Linked DNA regions of Macaca mulatta. Each later gene encodes a partner of the first gene's protein in a complex. Links are inferred from orthologs where the notes say so. Each region holds a gene or a part of one and is shown on either strand. Other genes may lie near its edges. The genes, in order: TMEM237, MKS1 and B9D2.

Region 1 (7,323 bases):
TTGTAAAGCGACAAGATTTTGGTGGCTGCATTTGTATTTGTGTTTCAGATTGAACTGGTGACAAGTGGTACTATTTTTCGTGAACTAATAAGAAAATAACAGCAATGAATTTAATGCATTAGTGCCAAGTGAAGGCCAATTTACCTTCATTAAATGAACATTTCACAATAGTAGAAACAGTAATACAACTGGCTTATACCATCCTCATGTTGAAAGTGGCCATTTTGTATCTTTAAAATAATGTTATTCCTATCAGATTAATGTTCACTTGAAATTTATGTTTAAATTTTATTTAAACTGGTACATTTTCTTTGGTTTTATGTTGTATATGGTTAGAGTTTCAAGTGTTTAGGGAGGAGTAAAATAACTTCATATGGGAAGTTGAGGGGAGTAATCTGTCTGCAAACTATTACTAAATTTTGCAAAACATGACCAGACATTAAGATTAAAGATTAAAACATAAGTTTTGTAGTTTAGAAGACATTTATTGGACCTCATTTTTTTAAATAAAAACTTCAGTCTTTTATTATTTTTAAAAAATTACAAATTAAAATTTCTTTTATCTCAGTAATACATTTCTAAGAAATAAAGGATGACATACTGTGGATAGTGATATATTTTTCCCAGCTTTGCTTATGCTTTACATTAATTTGGAAGGATATGCTTATACCTGTTATAATAATTACATTTTCTCTACAAAACTTAGCTGAGCATGATGGTATGTGCCTATAGTCCCAGCTACTTGGGAGGCCTAGGTGGGAGGATCACTTGAGTCTGGGAGGCAGAGGCTGCAGTGAGCTGAGATGATGCCACTGCATGCCAGCCTGGGATAGAGTGGGACCCTGTCTAAAAAAAATAATAATTTTATCTATATTTAGCAACATTCTTTCAATTAACAGAGGGTAAAAAAAAATTACTACTTTCTAGTTAGCTAGCTTTGTAGAATTTTGAGAAAATATGTTTTAAACATTATTAAAAATCATCTGTGCAAAATTTGCGGACCTTACTGTTTTTATAAGTAGTTTCACGACTGAATGTGACAGCATAACAAACTGTATTTTTTCCATTTGTCCAATTAAGTCTGTACTATCCATATTTTTCTATTTCTCCTAAAGGATGAAGACCTACAAGAGATGGAAAATTTAGCCCAAAGAATGGAAACTCAGTTTGGCCAATTTTTTGATCATGTGATTGTGAATGACAGCTTGCATGATGCATGTGCCCAGTTGTTGTCTGCCATACAGAAGGCTCAGGAGGAGCCTCAGTGGGTACCAGCAACATGGATTTCCTCAGATACTGAGTCTTAATGAGACTTCTTGTTTAATGCTGGAGTTTTAACACTGTGCCCTTGTTACAGCGATCCACAGTTGCAATCTAAAACAGCAGTATTTGACCCATTATAATGTGTACAACTTTAAAAGTGCAGTAGTTTATTAATTAATCTTATTTGAAAAAATTTTTATTGTATGGTTATGTAGTTACCTATTTGGCTCTTAAAAATTTTTTTTCCTTTATCTCATATGCAGCTGTAGTAGAAATATGAATAATGTTAAGTCACTGAGTATGAGAACCTTTTGCAGATTTCATATCTTTTAAAGATTTAAATAAAGAGCTTTCCTAAATATAATAAGCAATATTTAACTTCAGAAATTGTATTTTACTCTATGAAACGTGTTTTATGAAAACATCTTTTGGCCGGGCGCGGTGGCTCAAGCCTGTAATCCCAGCACTTTGGGAGGCCGAGGCGGGTGGATCACGAGGTCAGGAGATCGAGACTATCCTGGCTAACATGGTGAAACCCCGTCTCTACTAAAAATACAAAAAACTAGCCGGGCGTGGTGGCGGGCGCCTGTAGTCTCAGCTACTTGGGAGGCTGAGGCGGGAGAATGGCGTGAACCCGGGAGGCGGAGCTTGCAGTGAGCCGAGATCACGCCACTGCACTCCAGCCTGGGAGACACAGCGAGACTCCGTCTCAAAAAAAAAAAAAAAAAAGAAAACATCTTTTACCAAAAGTGCTTACTTAATTCAGCAAGAAAGGTTTAATATGCACATTTCACATCTAAAATCAAAACCTACAAAAAACTGCACTGCCTTCACTATTTACAAATCAGCCTACAAGGAAAAAATTATTCTCATCAGAGGTGTGACAAACACGAATTTTCCTTACAGCCAATGTCTACATGCATGCCTAAATTAGAAAAGGCAATGGATTAGTCCAGGAGACCTATATATAGAAGAATCACAAGATTGAAACCGTGTCTCAGAGTTAAACCAGGGACTAACAGAAATTCTTGAGCGTGCAGGACAGCAGATAAAAAACAATTTGCTAAAACGCCTAAACTTCTTCTATTGTGAGATTAAAAAACAAAATAAAGCAAACTGGCTGAAATTGGTTAGGACTAACACGGATGGCTACCTGAAGTCTGTACAAAATGAGCTTGCTGGCGTTACAGCTCGAGTCTTCCCCCATGTTTCATACTGACTCCCTCCAAAATTTGCACATGCGACCCATGAAGCGACATGAAGAGGTAACCGCGAACGCCAAAAGATTTTCCAGATGGCTTCTTTCCTTCCACCAATCATTTACTAATCCCAGAATCCATTCCCTAAACCTTTTCTAATAAAAATACTGTCTTAAAGCCAGCACAGGGAGACAGATTAGAGCTATACTCCTGTCTCCTTGTTAGTTGACTCGCAATAACAACTTTTCTCAAAAAACCAGCATCATAATATTGGCTTCTGTGCATATAGGGCAACAAACCCCGTTTGTTTGGTAACAAGATTAGGATGCCATTACAAAGTCCTGTTTCTCTTTCTTCCCCCAGATTTGAGATTTCCAGGCGCTTTCCCTGTCCCTGTATCTGTTCATCTTCTGCATCATTCTCTTCTCCATATCCACATCATTCTTCCATCTTTCTCATCTCTTTCTTAACTGTAAAATAGAATGCATGATTCAAAATATTTGTAGTTCTGTTACTTAAAGTGAAAGTTATCTTAAAAAAAAAAAAACCTAACCAAATAAAACTATGCAAATTAAGTAGTTTGTAGTGATATTTATGTGAGGTCGGATTTGATTTTAAGGTTCTTCAAGAAAAAGTTTTTCCAAATTTGATTTACACAGTTGTGGGATGAAGGGTAAGCAATCGGAGAAAATGTGAGAATTGCCTATATTAATACACATCCACACACCCAGGCCCGCACAGACTCGTTGGTCCTAGAGAGTAAACACATTCGTCCCAAACCCAGCAATGCTTGGCAGGGCAGAGGCGGGCGGGGACCTGGCTCACGGGGAGGCGGCCTCGCCAGGCTGCAGCGTCGCGGGGAGCTGGGCTCGGGCCGCCGGCGGTTGCGCCGGGGAAGCCCCGCGGGGAGAGCACCATGAGGGCTGACTCGGGGGCTCGGCTGGAGGAGGGCCACCTGGTGAGCGGCGAGGGACGCGTCGGCCTCGAGGGGTGGCGGGTAAACAGCTACACTTGGCGGGGTGGGGGTGGGTGTGTGTGGGGGGCGCTAACGAGCTGGGGATCACTAAGGGAGAGCCTTGCTCATGGGGTGCGCGCGTCCGCCCCTCCAGCATTCACAGGAGTGGGACGGAGACCCAGGCGAGGCCGGGACCGAACTCCTGGAGTAGGGGAGAGAGGCCTGGCATGAAGTTTGCGGGTACCTGAGCCCGCGTTGCCACGACGACGCCTCACTTCTCTGAGGCCCAGCGCCCGGCGGGTGCTGGGGCTTCCAGCCAGGCCTCTCATAGACTCCCCCTCCGAGAGGGCAGTAGCTGCCTAGAAAAGATCGTTGTTTGCCTGCGGAGTCCTTTAACCAAGGTCTTCCCTCACGCCTCGCTCCCCGCAAACAAATCACCGCGACCACTTAGGAAACCACGGGAAAGCTGCGATTGCAGCGCCACGGTCGCCGAATCTCTGCTCCTGGGCACATTACCCCAACTCAGAGGCCCCTTTTTTGGCAGGGCTAGTCTGGACTGGCCAATCCAGGTCCCTGCGCGTCTCTCACCCCAACTTACCCACCCGGCGGCGCTGCCCGATGACGCATTGCGCCTGCGCGCGCGACAGAGCCGGGAGGGGTGCTTGCGGGCCGGCGGCTGCCGAGGCCGGCTAAACACAGAATGGGGAAGAATCCTGTGGTAAGCGAGCCTTAGCTACTTTTAGTTGTTAGGATTTTTGTCTTCAGTTGAGCCGTCCTACTTTTGAGGAGTAGAGGTTGGGTCTCTGGGTGGGTGGAATGTCATTTTTGCGGGACTTTTGAAATCAGTTTCGTGAACTGAGTCCTTGGATCGATCGCGCGCGTTTCGTAGCATCTGTAGAACAAGCGCGTTCCCGTGATTGTCATTCTTTTCCAGTTGTGATTTTGACTACTGGATGGTATTACGGGAGCTTGCCTCGTCCTAATCTTGTAGTACTTGCGTTAATCTACTGTTCGAACGAATGGATTGCTAAATGGGACAAACTACAAAAATGTCTAAAATTTAACCCTTTTGAATAAATGTCTTATGCAAGCAGCATGAGATACTTGGAACATTAAATTGGCTTCTAGGCATTTCTCTTAGTATCTAATTCTGAAAATACTTCTCAACTGTAATGCTCTCTGACTGCAAACACTTTTCTTATTCATATAAATGAGCGTTTAGAAGGGTTCCCCCCACCATTCTTTCTGCCCTAAAACGCATTCTTCCCAGTATATTCAAGTGGCCTTTTAAAAATTTGTGTTAGTATGTGGTTTAAAACTTCCATTGGTTTCCCATTGAATTAAAACAAAATCCAAACTCCTTGCCTTGGTCTGCAAGGCCCTAACTAAATCTGGCTCCTGCCTACCTCCTTGGCAATTGTGCGGCAGCCTTGCTGTCCTTTTACCTGAAATATTCCAGGCTCAATTTAACCTAAAAATCTTTGCATTTGTTCCGGTTGCTCCTTTCTCATTCAGGTCTCAGCTCAAATATCTCAGAGAAACTTTCCCTAACAAAAGTAGCACTCAGTCTCCTTCATTCATTACGTTTTGTGTGTTTGTGTTTGTGTATATATACACAAGGTATGTATACAAGATATATGTCTTAAATATAGCATATATATGTTACACATGCTGCATATAATATATAGTATATATTATATATATTTAACCTTGTTTCTAATAACCACTAGAATGTAAGTTCCATAAAAGCAGAGTTCTCTCCGTTTTGTTCATTAGTGTACTCCTAATGCTTAGAAAAGGGCCTGGCCTAGAGATAGAAAGGAATGTAGGAAGGAAATAATTTTATATGAAATTTAGAATGGGAGAACAAATTTTAAATTGCCCATGTTTCTCATCAGTACCTCCCAGGTTTCACTAATGAACAAGATTATCAAAAGATTTGAAGATCCTGGTCCGATCCATTATATTTTTCTGTCATGTCTGAACAACAGACTTTTGAAAGAAGTGGTTTCACCGGGCATAGTGGTTCACTCTTGTAATCCCACCACTTTGGGAGGCCAAGGTGGGCGGATTACCTGAGGTCAGGAGTTCAAGACCAGCCTGGCCAACATCGCAAAACCCATCTCTGCTAAAAAACCAAAACTTAGCCGGGCATGATGGTGGGTGCCTGTAATCCCAGCTGCTTGGGAGGCTGAGGCAGGAGAATTGCTTGAACCCAGTAGATGGAGGTTGCAGTGAGCCAAGATCGTGCCATTGCACTCTAGCCTGGGCCACAGAGCAATACTCCGTCTCAAAAAAAAAAAAAAAAAAAGGAAAAAAAGAATAGCTTTATGGTGTTTGGGATACATGAAGTAAAGATGCTCTAGGCTTTTACTTACAAGCAAATTTCTTTTTTTCCCCCACAGCGTCCTCCACGAGCCCTTCCACCTGTGCCAAGGTAAACATAATTTACAGTAATTTCATTATTGAGCTTTAAAAATGGAAAACGAAGACAGTAGAAAAATTAACTAGTATCATTGCAAAATTACAATGATTCTGGAAACTCTTCTGAAAAATTTAGGGATTTTCTGAAATTTTAAAGGTGAAAAATCCTTGAATTATAAGAATAGCAGTTAAAATTGAATGTTAAATTTAAAAGCCTGAATATCATCATGGTAGGATAATGGATCCATTCCCTTTCTAACTGTTTTAGTGTTTTTTTTTTTTTTTTTAATCAGAATTCTGATCTTTCGTTTGTGAGAATAGTTTCCTCAGAGTTTAAGCTGATTTTAATCAGTGACAAGTAAGAGTTCTTAATCTGCTTAATCCACTTTATTAATAGACAGTAGGGAATATGTATATGTGGGTTCAGAAAATATTGACATTATTTTATTAGTAGTGTTATTAAACAGCTTATTAATTATAAACAGTAAACTAGTCTGTAAACTAGCTATTACATGAAAGCTAATTTTATTTTAAATTTGTAATGATTTAAGTCAATTTTCACTGTGAATATTAACAGGTTTCTAATTAATTGTTCCTTTTTTGTCTTTGTCCTGCTGATTAAATTTGTTTGGTGTTACATGACATGTTAGTCAAGGTGAGTTAGTTTAATGTGAATATAAAATTTTCTAAATATAGTATTTGGTGTTCAAAAATTAGTTTGATTCCTTGGTTTGTTTATCTTAAAACCGAATCTGAATGGTGTAATTTGTAATTCTACAATATGTTTTTGTCAAATAATCTCCCATGACTACCATTTAAAAATTGTCTTTAATACATAGCACTAGATGACCTTGCCATTATAAAAGCACTTCATCCCTGAATGGGGTCACCGAGCACACAACTGTTGGCTAGTTTGTAGCTCTGTAACGAGGACTGCACCTTCCTTTGTCTCATTTAGTCAGGGTAGACAAGGTTATACCATACTAAAAACCCCCAAATCTCAGTGACTTAGTATCACACAGGGTTATTTCTAATTAATACCAACTCCGCTATGGCAAAAACTGGGGACAATTGCCTTTCACTACCTTTTTACTATTGGTATAGCAATCTAGGCTACTTCTTTTTTTTTTTTTTGAGACAGTATCTTGCTCTGTTGCCCAGGCTGGAGTGCAGTGGTGCAATCTTGGCTCACTGCAATCTCTGCCTCCTGGGTTCAAGTGATTCTTCTGCCTCAGCCTCCTGAGTAGTTGGGATTACAGGCGTGTGCCACCATGCCTGGCTACTTTTTGTATTTTTAGTAGAGACAGTGTTTTGCCATGTTGGCCAGGCTGATGTTGAACTCCTGAGCTCAAGTGATCTCCCCATCTTGGATTCCCAAAGTGCTGGGATTACAGGCGTGAGCCACTGCGCCTGGCTTGCAATCTAGGCTACTTCTATGCTGTGGTCCCACCATCTTAACATGAGGCTTCCTCAGTCACCACA
Region 2 (7,305 bases), on another chromosome or scaffold:
CTAGGTACTTTACATACCTTATTTCCTTTAGTCCTTACAACAACCCTTTGAGGTGAACACTTTTCTTATTACTACCTTATAAGTGGGGAAACCGAGATTGAGGAGCTAAGTAGTCTGCCCAAGGTTACATAGCTTGTAAGCGCGAGAGTCAGGATTCTGCCCCAGACCAGCTGACTCCAGGGCCTCTGCTTCACAGTAAAATGGCGGTGGGTCAGGTGCTTGTGCCTCCAGCTCTTGATGATCCTTCCCACTATTGCTTTTCTTCTTCTTCCTGTTCAGAACTGAACTTTGGTCTAGCTTGGGTTACATCTTGAGTTTTGGTTTGGTTTGTTTCCTCAGCTTTATGGCCGGCACAAGGAGTATCTCAGCAGCCTCGTAGGCACTGACTTTGAGATGGTGAGTAGCTTGGCTTCCTGCAGCACTGTGAGCTGTGTTTAGCCGGAGCATTCTGACTGTGGATGGGTTACAGCACTTCTCTTAAAGGCCTCCAAGGTATACTCTACGGTGTGAAAAGGAAGTCAAAGAATAGCACATATAGTCCTTGTTATGTGTTTTGCAACATTGCATGTTGATAGAGAACTGTTAATGCCGAGAAAAAGGCCTGAAAGGCTACGCATATGCTGTGGGTGGCTTTTTTGGGGAGGGTGGGATTAGATGTGGTAGATGGGTAGTGGGTAGTGAGAGGGATATATCAGGGATTTTTGCTTTTTATTCCCTAAACTCAGGTAGTTTTGAATTTTTATCAGTGGTAATGTATTTATGTATTACTTTATAATTAATTTAGAAAATAAATATAAGGATGAAAAATGTCTTCTTCACCTTTCATGTGGATATTTTTTCAAAATACCCCATAGAGAGGCAGGGGTGCCATTTCTGTTTGTCACATATTTTGGCTCTTAAAAAATATAGGCCCGACGTGGTGGCTCATGACTATAATCCCAGCACTTTGTGAGACCAAGGTGGGAGGATCACTTGAGGCCAGGAGTTTGAGACCAGCCTGGGCAACATAGTGAGACCACATCCCTACAAAAATTAAAAAAAAAAAAAAATTAGCAAGTCATGGTGATACATGCCTGTAGTCCCAGCTATGCATGATGCTGAGGCAGCAGGATTGCTTGAGCCCAGAAGTTTGAGTTTGCACTGAGCTATGATCACACCACTGCATTCCAGCCTGGACAACAGATCAAGACCCTGTCTGAAAAAAAAAAGAAAGTGGTTTAGTTCAGCTATTCTGTCGTGCTGTTCTTTGTCTTTTCTCGTTCTAAGTGTTCCATCGCTAGACCTGGAAACAAGGATAGAATTACTGGTCTCCCTCTCTTTCTCTGAAAAATTAACATTCACTGTTTCCATATTGCATAAGCAACAGATATTCAGTATTTAAAAGTTAGATAAGACAGATGCACAAATAATTAAAAAAGAAAACTCCCTGGTTTCTTGACCTCAGCTGTGTAAAGGGAACCGGGCATTCTGGCTTCCTATTGCACACCACAGGGCAGTTGCTGTTGCTTGGCTAATTTCCCATAGTGCATTGTCCTTACTGCCATTTAAATTATGTACTTTCCCCTTACATTATGTATCTTAGGAATGAAGGAAACAGATCTGTGGAGAAGTGTCAGGGTGGGGAGAAAGTGCAGTAGTGACACCCAGGATCTGACCCCCAGTGTCAGGATATCTGCAGATTTGTAGATGAGGCTGGAGGAGAAGTGCCAGTTCCCTTCAGGCCTGCTGATCCTTTCCCACTTCTCTTCACCTTAGACTGTCCCAGGTGCCCTCCGGCTCTTTGTAAATGGAGAGGTAGGTAAGTGTCTTGCTAGCATAGATCTCTTGATGCTAAGGCACGTGCCTAGATGTAGCCGTGAATAGTCTCCTCCACCCTGGTAGAGGTCTTGTCTGCTGTACTTGGGAAACTCAGTGGTGAGTCTTTCCTGGAAATGCAGAGGGTTCCTGGCCCTCAAAAGACTTGCTCTCAGGGTGTGTTGGACCCTCAGGACTGGGTTGGGTGCTAAGGGTGGTAGGATAAAAAGCTAAAATAGCTTCCTGTTTTCTCTCTTAGTTTCAGCCCAAGGCTATGAGTATGACAATCTCTACGTCCACTTCTTTGTGGAATTGCCAACTACTCGTAAGTAATATTCTTAAGTCTCTCTTTTATACCCATTCAGACAGATGTAGAGGCATTTGGTCAGGCTTCCTTTCCCACTCCTCTGCTGAAACTGTTACTGTTCTTTTCAAGGTTGTAGATCACATCCACTTTGCCAAACCCAGTGGGAACTTTCCTGCTTTCACCTCGCTTGACCTTCCTGAAGCATTTGCCAGAGCCCACTGTGCTGCATGACACACTTCTCTGGCTTCTGGCTCCACATTCTCTCTCCTGTCTCACTGGTGGCCCCTCACCTTCCTTGGGTAATGCCTTCTCTTCTGCTGATCTTACACCGTGAGGGTACCCATGGCTAAGCCAAGGCCTTCTGTTACTCTCTGTCTGCAGTCTTCCTGGGTGACCTCATCCATCCCATGGCTTAAATACCATCGATGTGTCTCAGACTCCCAGGTTTCTGCCTCCAGCCTTAGCCTGGACGCCAGACTCGTATCCAGTTACCTCTTTGTCATTTCTGTCTAACATGATCAAAGAGAACTCTGGATTCCTCCTCTTCCCTCAAACCTCTCCTCCCTGGTATTCCCCATCCTAACAGAATGGCAGTATCTGAGTTGCTGATGCCAAAAACCTAGGGGACATCCTTGATCCCTCACTTTCCCTAGCTCCCTATAGCCAGCCAATCTGTCAACAGTTCCTGTGCGTTCTGTCTTCGAAAGCTGTTGTGAACCTGTCTGTTCTCTCCAGCACCCTACACCAAGCCACCACCGTCTCTTGTCTAGGCCAATGCATTCAACTTCTGACTTATCCCCCTGCTTCCTGCCTTGCTCCCATTTGCAGTTCATTTGCCACAGACACCAAAGCCAAGTTGAGTTTTAAAAAATGTAAACAAGTTATGTCCCTTTTGAGCTGAAAACCCCCAAGAGCTTCGCCTCCCACTTAGAATAAAATGTAAACTCAATACCCTGAATGAGCCTCTGCCTATCTCTTCCGTACAACATTTCAGTCGTTCTTCCCAGCCAGGTTCATTCCCCCCTTAGAACCTTTTAAGGGCCGTTTCCTTTGTCTGAAACCCTTTCTGCCATATCTTAGCATGGCTGGTTCTTTCTGAGTTTAGGTCTCAACCTGTGTCACTTCTGAAAGGCCTTCTCTTACCACCCGGCCTAAATGAGCCTCCCAGTCACTCAGTCCCTTCCCGTTTTGTTTGAATAGAGCACTCATCACTACCCAATAGTCTCTTGTTGGTTTGTTTTTTGTCTCCCTGATTCCCCCAGAATGTCAGCTCCATGAGAGATGGGGATCTTTTCTATCTAGTTACCAAGATACCCCTAAGATATACTAGCACATAGCAGGCACTCAGTAAATGATAAATGAATGATAGATTGTGTGAATAAATGAATAAAGAAACTTTGTCTTTTTCTGAACGACTTGCTTTCCTCCCAGGTGAGCTTACTATATTTGTTCTTTGGCTTTCAGACTGGTCAAGCCCAGCATTCCAGCAGCTCTCAGGAGTAACACAGACATGCACCACCAAGTCCCTGGGAGTGGTATGGAGAATGAGAGCGGGTATCTGGAAGGGAATGAGATCTGCTCCTGGGATGGCATTTGAGGTTTTGTCAGGCCAAGTGCTGTGCACCCTGGGGAGGATTCTGAGTTGGGTGACTTGTGTGTGGGTTCTGCAGGGCTACCTGGCCCGGAGGTCCTCTCTGCCTTTTTGAGCATGGCAGCAGCTTGTCTTCGGGTGTCCCTTTGCATCTCAGACTCCTATTTCCCACCTGGGTGATAATTTTTCTTTTTCCCTTGTGAAGATAACCTTGTCATTGGCCACAAGGAGAACAAATTCCAAGGGAGGGCTTGCCCACCCTATGACACTCCTTTTTATAGGACAAGGTGGCTCACTTCTCCTACCCATTCACATTTGAAGCCTTCTTCCTCCATGAGGATGAATCTTCTGGTGAGTAGCTCAGCAGTTGATCCTGGGCCTTGGTTCCCCTCAAGCAGTGCTGTCTTGGTGAAGGCCCGCCTGTGACCTGGCCGCTTCTCTCGTTTCTCCCAGATGCACTCCCGGAGTGGCCTGTGCTCTACTGTGAGGTCCTCTCGCTGGACTTCTGGCAGAGGTACCGTGTGGAAGGCTATGGGGCTGTGGTGCTGCCTGCCACTCCAGGTAACCGCTTGTCCCCGCCCTTCCGTGGCTCACATGCCCTAGGCCCTACGAGCAAGACTAACACTCGAATGCTTCTGGTGAGGGGTGGGGATAGCTGGGAATTAGAAGCATTTGGCTTGAAAGAGTTCCTGTTCCTCTGAGGACTATCTGCCCCACTCCACTAGAGACAATAGCGTGGCCTTGGCGCTGACTTCCTGACAGTCTTGCCATGTGCTTCGTGCTCCTCTGATTGGACTCAGGGTGAGAAGCTGTATGGCAAAATCGGCTCATAGCATGTGTGTATGGAATGAAGCAGCATTCAGTTTGGAATAAAAGCATCTGTCTTCTACTGTGTGCCAGGCATTGTGCCATACTTCTCACTTATTCTCCCAGCCACTCTGTGCGGTGCAGGTGGTATTATTTCCATTTTACTAGATGAGGAGAATGAACTTCAGGGAGGTTAAGAAACCTGTCCTGGGTATGCAGGGAATAACTGGCAGAGCAGAAATTTGAATTTCTCCCTGATTGACTTCCAAACAGGTGCTATGGGTAACCATGACAACCTTCACCAGAGGCCAGGTCATCACCAGACCAGGTGTTTTAGCAAAGTCTAGGCCTGTGTCATTGCTGGGGAGTCAGTGAGGGGCCACATGCCCTTTCTGGACCCGGCCCCAGTCTCCTCTTCCCTTACGCAGGCTCACACACCCTGACAGTCTCCACATGGAGACCTGTGGAGCTTGGCATGGTGGCTGAGCTCAGGAGGTTTTTCATTGGCGGTTCTCTGGAACTGGAGGACCTCTCCTATGTGCGGATACCAGGATCCTTCAAGGTGACTTTTGTCTTTGGAGCGACTTCATGCTGGGAACTGATGGTCCTGTCCTTCTGTTCTGTAGGAGGTGGGATCTGGGTCAACACCCCTTAGTTGTGCATTGCTTCAATATTAGCCGCTTCCTTCCTATGGCTTAAGCTGGAAGTCAGGACCACATTTTGAACCAGGTTCCAATATCTACACTGCTATCATAGGAGGTCTCTGGAAAATAGTATAGTTAGAGATTTCCCTTGGTCCCCATCAGAATAACGGGCTCTTTCTTTCCCCCGTCACTGAAGGCCTCAGTAATCAGATGTGGGAAGGATTCACAGTAAGCATGTAAGACCGCTGCCTCTCAGATGAGGTTGGAATGTTCCCTGGTGTAGTTGGGGGAGCCCAGTAGCCCAGTATTAGCCTTGAGGTAATAGAGTCTGGGTGATGGAATAAGGTTTCCCCAACAGAACTGTGCTTCCTAAGAATGGGAATAAGAACCGGGGCGAGGCCAGCATACTGCGGGGGTGTCTAGAGACGGCAGAAACCTGATGCTCTCCCAATGGCATGCCGCAGGGGGAACGCCTGAGCCGCTTTGGACTCCGCACAGAGACCACAGGCACCGTCACCTTCCGCTTGCACTGTCTGCAGCAGTCCAGGTGAGGGACCTGGCCCTCTGCCTCGGGGCACCTTATCCCTGAGGGGTGGAGAACAGCCGTAACCATGTGGCTGGCCTCCCTGCAGGGCCTTCATGGAATCGAGCTCCCTTCGGAAAAGGATGCGGAGTGTGTTGGACCGTCTGGAAGGGTTCAGCCAGCAGAGTTCCATTCACAATGTGCTGGGTATGTCCCCTCCCCAAGCTGGCCACCCCGGGTCAGCATGGGCCTGTTGGGCAGCCAAATACCATATCTCCTTTCCTTACAGAGGCCTTCCGTCGAGCCCGGCGCCGCATGCAGGAGGCCCGGGAAAGCCTCCCGCAGGACCTAGTGAGCCCCTCTGGAACCCTGGTCTCCTAGCTCACAGCAGCCCTGGGCCACAGTGCAAGAGGACAAGATGGGGGATGTTTGAGGCCAGTGCTCTCCTGCCTCTTCGTCTGTCTGACTAGAGACCACGCTGGTCTGCTGGGAACCAGAAGAGCTGGGAAATTCCCAGCTGGCCCCTCTGCCTAGCCTTCTGCAGGGTTTTCTCCCTACCCTGGGGAAATAAAGCCAGAGACCCTGTGGCCCCCCCTTCATGTTTGCAGTCACTGTAAATGGGCATCACAGCAAGGCAGGCTTTTTGGTCTGAAGCTGTTTGGGGTGACCCCATAGTGAGTATGGCCTTGACTCACTTTTCTGGCTTGTCTCACAGTAGCAGGGGGATGCAGGGATCTGCTGTTCTCCAGCCTTTAAAAATGGAGCCTTCCTTCTTGCAAGACCAAAGAAGGAAGGAAGGAAGGTGGACGGTGAGAGGGGTCTTAAATCCCCAGCCTGTGAGTCTCAGCCTCCTCTTTCCAGGGCAGCCTCATTCTACTGCTTGGGGCTTGCTGAGGTTGAGATATGAGTTATTTCTGAGTAGGTGAAGGTTGAAGGCAGTGCTGAGTCCTTTCTGCTAGCTGGTTGGTATCTTTTACTGTGTTCTTTTTGTTTTTTGGGTTTTTTAAATCCATAAACCCCTTTTATTTTGACTGATGTTCCGTTGGCTGTTTGTCTGCTCAGGTTGCTGGTATGGCTGGGGTGTTCTTCTTAATGTCAGGGCCCTACCATGTCTGCCCTTCCTCTTTTCTGCCTTTCCCTACTCCACAGTGTTTCTTTGGGCTCTCCTAATTCAGCCCCCAGGAGAGGCTTAGATGGTTGTGCCAGCGTGCGTGTTAGCAGCACTTCTCTTCAACACCTGGAGCAAAGCATGGAACTGAGGCCACGTCCTCCCTAGCCCCACACAGAAACAGCAGCCCCTGCCCTTAGCAGTGCTTTATTGGTAGAAGCAGAGCATGCTGCCCAGCCTCAGGCTCAGAGGAGGACTGTGGGGTCTCTGCAGGCTAGGACTGAGTGGTCTCTCAGTCACGGTGAGGGAGGGGAGGGAGGGCTGGGAAACAGTAGAAAGTGCTGTAAACCCTCCAGCTGACTTTTCTTGCCTGGGGTGCAAGACAACATAGCTTGGCTCCCAAGCCTTTGCACGTGGCACTGATTCATAACCTAATACCTAAGAGACTCCCACGGCGGGAAGGTCCATTGCTGCTAGGAGCCCCCAGCTCTCACTCCCGGCTGGGGAACCCAGCTCTGAGCTGTAGCCAGC
Region 3 (7,426 bases), on another chromosome or scaffold:
AAAGAAGAAAGAAAGAGTACTCCTCCTCACAGAATGTTAACGCAATCTTCCCTGCAGCATAGCAAGATGTACTAATGAAATCGCTGTAACATATGTACTGGCCTTGTAGCCTGGAATAAACTCTATAGTTAATCATATTTTCTTTCCTTTTCTTGTTTTTTTTCTTTTCTTTCTTATTTATTTGTTTGTTTGTTTTTGGTGAGGTGGAGATTTACTCTTGTTGCCCAGGCTGGAGTGCAATGGCGCAATCTCGGCTCACTGCATCCACCGCCTCCCAGGTTCAAGCCATTCTCCTGCCTCAGTCTCCCGAGTAGCTGGGATTACAGGCATGTGCCACCACACCCAGTTAATTTTGTATTTTTAGTAGAGACGGGGTTTCACCGTGTTGCCCAGGCTGATCTCGAACTCCTGACCTCAGGTGATCCACCCGCCTCTGCCTCCCAAAGTGCTGAGATTACAGGTGTGAGCCACTGCGCCCGGACTTTTTTTTCTTTTTAGAGAGTAGAAGTCTTGCTCTGTCGCCCAGGCTGAAGTGCAGTGGTGTGATCTCGGCTCACTGCAACTACCGCCTCCCAGGTTCAAGTGATTCTTCTGCCTCAGCTTCCCAAGTAGCTGACACTACAGGCATGTGCCACCACACCCATCTAGTTTTGATATCTTTAGTAGAGACGGGGTTTCACTATATGTTGACCAGGCAGGTCTCGAACTCCTGACCTCAGGGTATCCACACGCCTTGGCCTCCCGAAGTGCTGGGATTACGGGCATGAACCACTGAATCCGGCCTCAATGATATTTTCTGAATCTTGTTATTTATGGTTGACAGTAATTTTTTTTTCTCTTATTTAACATGTATACATGGGAGCCTTCAGAATGAAGACCCCAGCTGGGAGCAGTGGCTCATGCCTGTAATCTCAGCACTTTGGGAGGCCAAGGTGAGTGGATCACCTGAGGTCAGGAGTTTGAGACCAGCCTGGCCAACATGGCGAAATCCTGTCTCTACTAAAAATACAAAATGGAGGCAGGAGGTGCCAGCCAGGTTGTGGAGAGCCTTGTCATGCATGGTAAGACTTTGGCTTTTACCCTGAGTGAAATGGGGACCACTAGAGGGGTTTGAGCAGATGGGACCTGACTTAGGTGTTCACAGGGTTCCAGATGCATGTGGGCTGCAGACTAGGAGGGTTGGGAAAGGAGACCCCAGAGACAAGGTCCCTGTCATAGTCCAGGTGATAGATGAACTTGGACAGATGAAGGTGTTGGGCGACAAAGAGGTGAGAAGTGGATTTTAGGGTGCATTTCAAAAGTAGAGACAGTTAAGATTTCCTGATGGACAAAATGAGGGCTTGAGAAAAGAGAGAGCAAGGCTGATGCCACCACTAGGGGACCAGAGGCCCCAAGAGCTGAAAGGTTAGAGCTGTCTTCCTCACCCACACAGCATCCAGAAAGATATAAAAAACCCATCTCTACTAAAAATACAAAATTAGCTGGGTGTGGTGGTGTGCGCCTGTAGTCCCAGCTACTTGGAAGGCTGAGGCAGGAAAATTGCTTGAACTGGGAGGCAGAGGTTGCAGTAAGCTGAGATCGCGCCACTGCACTCCAGCCTGGGCGACAAGGCGAGGTTCCATCTCAAAAAAAAGAAAAAAAAAAACTAACAAAAATCCAAAATTATAAGGAGGGGGCAACATTTCAGTAGGATAACATTTATATTAAACAATTCACTGGAATATTTCACTAGTTGATATATGCATTATTTTGTTATTTTTGTAGAGATGGGGGTCTCACTATACTCGACCTTCTGGCCTCAACAGCTCTTCCCGCCTCAGCCTTCCAAAGGGCTGGGATTACAGTCATGAGCCTAGCCAAGGGTGGCTTTTAAATACTCGTGTCTATTGGCCTGGCTGGGTGGCTCAGGTCTGTAATCCCGGCAGTATGGGAGAGCAAACTGGGAGGCTAGCTAGAGCCCAGGAGGTCAAGACAAAGGCTGGGCAACACAGCAACACAGCAGGACTCCATCTCTTAAAAAAAAAAAAAAAAAGAATTAGCCAGCCGTGGTGGCGCATGTGTGTGATGCCAGCTACATGGGAGGCTGAGGTAGGAGGATCCCTTGAACCCAGGAGTTCAGAGGCTGCAGTGAGCTGTGATCAAGCCACCGTACTCCAGCCTGGGTTACACAGTGCGACCCTTTTATGGAGTCTTGATGGGACCTGATGACTGGCTTGATGTGGGAAATGATGGCATCTATGATGGCATCCAGGGACATCTCCATTTCTTGATTGAGAAATCAATCAATAGAAAAGAGGATTTTCTGCAAATAAGGGGATCCCAGTTCCTCATTTCTCTTCGCTACCCCAACGGTTCCTTGCTCAGACTCAAGCAGTTTAACAGTGAACTTGGTAGTAGCTTGGTAGAAGTTGGGTAAGTCCAACTTCCTTCCTTGTCCTTGAAAAACCTAGGGGAACTCTAAAACGGAAGCAGAACCCACTCCCCAATTTCTCCACTCTCTGTGAATGAGGAGTGATTTTTTTTGCTTTGTTTTCCAGTTATGAGGTAGGGGATGTACATGAGGTCCTGGAAGGAATTCCTCCTTGGTCATAGTTCAGTCTCTGATTTGTGATCCCGGACCATAGAGAGCTCTTCGGTGGGGTCCTCACGCAGCACGGAGCAGTTACGGATTTGCTTTTTTTGGTAAAGAGGACATCTGGGAGAAACTGCACTCAAACTTCCTCAGCCACACTCAACATGGCAGCTTCCTAGCCACGGCCAAAATGGCGGAACCCTTTGCCGTAGCTGGAGAGACGCTATTTTCCCAAAATGGAGCGAGAGGAGGAAAATGTCCATCACAGTTTCACCCCGCCTCCCGGGGACGGCTAACACCAATCAGTGGCGCGGAGGGCGAGTACAAAGCCAGGGGAGGAGCCTGCTGTTGCTCCAGCAACAACCACGGAACCCAAGGCGAGCGCGGACGCGGAATATCGCGGATTCCATTTCTCGCAGCCGGGAAGGTCCTGGGAAAGGCGCGAGCCAGGCCTGGTAGGCGCCCGCGGAGAAAAAAACGAGTCAACTCAACCCCATGAACTACAACCCCCGTTGCCGCTTTCGCCCCTCCTAACCGTTAAGTGCGCTAAGGTAGGAATAACGCATGCGCTGCGCTTGGAGGCGTGGCTAAGTCGGCCCGGAACTCAACGCATGCGCCTTATAGAGCTTGCTGGGTGAGGGAAGCGGGGTGGCTGACATGACGCGGAAGGCGGGTCTTTTCGCTCGTGGGCGGGGCTTTCCGCTGACCTGAACCCAAAGAAGGTATTTTAGACCTCGCAGAGTTAAATGCTGGTTCCCCCCAGACAAGGGTCCCCCCATTTTTTCCAGGCTTTCATGGGTTGGCAATTAGGATCTGTGGTCAAGACCTCAGCCTCAGGGGTGTGAGGAAGCTAGCTTGGAATCCTAGTACTACCCTTTACTTGCTGGGCCTCAGTTTCCCCTCCTGTCAAATGGAGATAATATACTTACCTCACAGGGTTGTGATTATATTTTTTCCCATCCCAGGGCCATGGCTGAGGTGCACGTGATCGGGCAGATCATGGGGGCCAGCGGTTTCTCGGAAAGTAGCCTGTTCTGCAAGTGGGGCATTCACACAGGTATTCCCCCAGGCCTGGTTAATTTCCACACCAAGACCCCTAGCCTAGAGGCTGCATGCTCCTTCCTCGACCTGTTAACGCAGCGCCTTAACCTCATCTTCCATCAGCTCTCTGTACTCCAGGCTTAGCCCACACCCTGTCCACGTGAGTCTCAAGCTCCCATCTGTTTTTTCGTTTGTGCAGGGGCTACGGACAGGGTCTCTCTCTGTCGCCCAGGCTGGAGTAAGGTGGTGTGATCATAGCTCACTGCAGCCTCGAACTCTTGGGCTCTAGTGATCCTCCCACCTCAGCCTCCTGAGAAGCTGGGCCTACAGGCACGCACCACCAAGTGTGGCTAATTTTTAAACTTTTTGTAGAGACAGGGTCTCGCTATGTTGCCCAGGCTGGTCTCAAACTCCTGGGCTCAAGCAGTCCATCCGCTTCAGCCTCTCAAAGTGCTTGGATTAAAAACATGAGCCACCACATCCCAGGAAAGTAATTTTGTTCATGCTTCCCCAACTGAGGCCCTGTAGAGTCATGGTATAGTGTAATGGTTAGGGCCATGGGCTGCCAGATCTGGATTTAAATACTAACTCTCCCTTCTATTAATTGGAGACCTTTGGACTTGACCTCTCTGAGCCTCAGTTTCCTTGTCTGAAAGTGAAGCTAATAGCAGCCAAGAAGCAGCACAGGTTTGAGGTTAAGAGCACAGACTGCCTGGGTTCAAAACTAGTTATTGCTTGTTAATGCACTCTTGGGCTGATTATGTGACCTTGGGCACTTCTCTTCACCTCGACTTCTCTGTTTGTACAATGAGAGTAATAGAAATATTTACCTGTTGAAGTTGTCATGAGTACTAAACAAATATCAACAGCACTTAGAATAGGAATAGGGCTGGAATATGAAGTGCCCATTCAGTGTTTGCCTGGCTCATACAAGACTTTGATGGGGTCTTGTTTGTAAAGCCTGGGGTATGTGGTTGCCTGGCACAGATAAATGTCCATGAAACAGATGTGGCCATTTGGCATTATCATGTCTTCAGGCCTGAGTCTTAGTCCCTTTTTTTTTTTTTTGAGATGGAGTCTCTCTCTGTTGCCCAGACTGGAGTGCAGTGGCGCAATCTTGGCTCACTTCAAGCTCTACCTCCCAGGTTCACGCCATTCTCCTGCCTCAGGCTCCCATGTAGCTGGGACTATAGGCACCCGCCACCATGCCCGGCTAGTTTTTTTTGTATTTTTAGTAGACAGGATTTCACTGTGTTAGCCAGGATAGTCTCGATCTTCTGATCTCGTGATCCACCTGTCTCGGCCTCCCAAAGTGCTGGGAGTACAGGCGTGAGCCACCGCGCCTGGCCGTTTTTTTTTTTTTGAGACAGAGTCTCACTCTGTCGCCAGGCTGGAGTGCAGTGGCACAATCTCGGCTTACTGCAATCTCTGCCTCCTGGGTTCAAGTGATTCTCCTGCCTCAGCCTCCCGAGTAGCTGGGATTACAGGCGTCCACCACCACACCCAGCTAATTTTTGTATTTTTAGTAGAGATGGTGTTTCATCATGTTGGCCAGGCTGGTCTCGAACTCCTGGCCTTAAGTGATCCGCCCGCCTAGATCTCCCAAAGTGCTGGGAGTACAGGTGTGAGCCACTGCCCCTGGCCTCTGGTCCTTTTTGATTCTACAGGTAAGTGAGGTAGAAGTTGAGATTCCCAGGAAATCAGGACCCTCCAGTTGATGGAAGAGAGGCAGACTCTGGAGTCAGACTTGGTTTCCAGGTTCCACGCCACCACTCACCTTCTCTGTGACCCTGGGCAGATGCCATCCCCTCTTAGAACCTCAGTTTCCTCATCTGTTCTTCATAGGGCTGTTGGGAAATCTTGCTTTTAAGCAGCCTGACTGAGGGCCTGGTGCTTCCCTCACTCAGCCCAGAAGGGAGTAATGACTAACCTGATTTTTATTACTTCAGGGAGTTGCTGGGGGTGTTGACCCAGCCAAGAATACTGAGGCAGTTGGATGAACGGCTTGGGCTCTGCAGTTAGAGCTGAGTCTGAATCCAGTTCCATGATGGGACCTTGGTCTGCTATAGTCACAGCTATGTCACCAGCATGGAAAACAGTGCTTGGCACACAGCAGGTGCTCAATAAATGTTCATGAACTTACCTTTTCAGAGCCTGTGTCTTTACCTGTTAAATGGGGATTATATTAGCTCCCAACTCCTAGGATCACTAATTTGTCCAAGAAACATTTATTGAGCACCTTCTGTATACCAAGAGCTGGGTTTGTGGTCTTGGAGATCCAGCAGTGTGCAAGGTCCCTGTTTTCCTGGGCCATACGGTAGGGGAGACAGAAAATAAATAAGCAGGCCAGGCACGGTGGCTCATGCCTGTAATCCCAGCACTTTGGGAGTCTGAGAAAGGCAGATCACCTGAGGTCAGGAGTTTGAGACCAGCCTGGCTAACATGGTGAAACCCCATTTCTACTAAAAATACAAAGAATTAGCTGGGCATGGTGGCATGTGCCTGTAATCCCAGCTACTTGGGAGGCTGGGGCAGGAGAATCACTTGAACCCGGGAGGTGGAAGTTGCAGTGAGCCGAGATGGTGCCGTTGTACTCCAGCTTGGGCAACAGGAGCAAAACTCTGTCTCAGAAAAAAAAAAAAAAAGAAAAGAAAAGAAACAGATAAACGAGTGCAGTTGGGTGTGGTGACTCACCCCTGTAATGCCAGCACTTTGGGAGACCGGAGCAGGAGGATCACTTGAGCCCAGGAGTTTGAGACCAGCCTGGGCAGCATAGTGAGACCCCCGTCTCTACAAAGAAATCACAAATTAGCAGAGCATAGTGATGTGTGCCTGTGGTTCCAACTACTCGGGAGGTTGAGGTGGGAGGATTGCTTGATCCTGGGAGGTTGATTGCAGTGAGCTGTGATTGTGCCACTGCACTCCAGCCTGGGTGACAGAGGGAGATCTTGTCTCCTCCTCCTCAAAAAAAAAAAAGAAAGCAGCACCGTGATTACAGACAGTGGTAAGTGCTAGGATGAAAAGAAAAGATGTGACAGAAACTAGTGTTTGGAGAAGAGGGTCAGGGAGAACCCCTCTGTGGAAGTGGCACTTGAGCTGGGCCCTGAAGGATGAAAACAAAAGCTAGGGATGGGGACATCCAGGAGCAGAGCTTTCTAGGCAGAGGGAACAGCCAGTGCAAAGGCCCTGAGGTGGGAAGACAGAAGTGGGACAGTGAGGCCAGAGGGTGATGAGGGATGGGGAGAGTGATGGGAGATGAACTCAGGGACGGGAGCAAGAGCCAGGCCATGTGGGCCATGGTGGAGAGTGTAAACTGGGGAGTGAGGAGGGAATTAAGAGTCCTAGAGGGTGAATTAAATGAATGCATTGCCTAAAGTGCTTAGCATAGCATCTGGGATTTAGTAAGTACTCGGTGTATTTTCTTATTTTTTTCTGAGATGGAGTTTCACTCTTGTTGCCCACACTGGAGTGCAATGGGAACATCTTGGCTCACTGCAACCTCCGCCTCCTGGGTTCAAGCGATTCTCCTGCCTCAGCCTCTTGAGTAGCTAGGACTACGGGCGTGCGCCACCATGCCCAGCTAATTTTTGTTATTTTTTTTAGTAGAGACAGAGTTTCAGAATGTTGGCCAGGATGGTCTCGATCTCTTGACCTCATGATCTGCCTGCCTCGGCCTCCCAAAGTGCTGGGATTACAGGCATGAGCCACCACACCCGGCCATACTCAGTACAACTTCTCTCTTTCTTTGATTTTTTTTTTTTTTTTTTGAGACAGGGGCTCACTCTGTCGCTGAGGCTGGAGTGCAGTGGCACA

The links.
Region 2: TMEM237 (region 1) and MKS1 share a complex: the UniProt entries of both Homo sapiens proteins name them as parts of the tectonic-like complex. The link is inferred for Macaca mulatta from reciprocal best matches to the Homo sapiens genes TMEM237 and MKS1.
Region 3: TMEM237 (region 1) and B9D2 share a complex: the UniProt entries of both Homo sapiens proteins name them as parts of the tectonic-like complex. The link is inferred for Macaca mulatta from reciprocal best matches to the Homo sapiens genes TMEM237 and B9D2.

The regions. Positions count from the first base shown.
Region 1 is NC_133417.1:106,787,647-106,794,969, reverse strand, and holds the start of TMEM237 (transmembrane protein 237), read left to right. Parts: upstream 1-3,294; 5' UTR 3,295-3,378; coding exon 3,379-3,420; intron 3,421-4,077; exon of another isoform or gene 4,078-4,117; coding exon of another isoform or gene 4,118-4,135; intron 4,136-5,822; coding exon 5,823-5,854; intron 5,855-6,491; coding exon 6,492-6,496; intron 6,497-7,323. Other genes in the region: MPP4 (MAGUK p55 subfamily member 4), read left to right, coding at 1,116-1,307. UniProt on the Homo sapiens protein: Component of the transition zone in primary cilia. Required for ciliogenesis.
Region 2 is NC_133421.1:51,776,802-51,784,106, forward strand, and holds the end of MKS1 (tectonic-like complex member MKS1), read left to right. Parts: intron 1-339; coding exon 340-396; intron 397-1,755; coding exon 1,756-1,798; intron 1,799-2,053; coding exon 2,054-2,119; intron 2,120-3,565; coding exon 3,566-3,636; intron 3,637-3,973; coding exon 3,974-4,043; intron 4,044-4,145; coding exon 4,146-4,253; intron 4,254-4,417; coding exon of another isoform or gene 4,418-4,443; exon of another isoform or gene 4,444-4,586; intron 4,587-4,772; coding exon of another isoform or gene 4,773-4,846; exon of another isoform or gene 4,847-4,927; coding exon 4,928-5,061; intron 5,062-5,607; coding exon 5,608-5,690; intron 5,691-5,775; coding exon 5,776-5,873; intron 5,874-5,955; coding exon 5,956-6,047; coding exon of another isoform or gene 6,048-6,136; 3' UTR 6,137-6,701; downstream 6,702-7,305. UniProt on the Homo sapiens protein: Component of the tectonic-like complex, a complex localized at the transition zone of primary cilia and acting as a barrier that prevents diffusion of transmembrane proteins between the cilia and plasma membranes.
Region 3 is NC_133424.1:52,505,363-52,512,788, reverse strand, and holds the start of B9D2 (B9 domain-containing protein 2), read left to right. Parts: upstream 1-2,909; 5' UTR 2,910-3,123; intron 3,124-3,217; exon of another isoform or gene 3,218-3,294; intron 3,295-3,537; 5' UTR 3,538-3,541; coding exon 3,542-3,629; intron 3,630-7,426. UniProt on the Homo sapiens protein: Component of the tectonic-like complex, a complex localized at the transition zone of primary cilia and acting as a barrier that prevents diffusion of transmembrane proteins between the cilia and plasma membranes.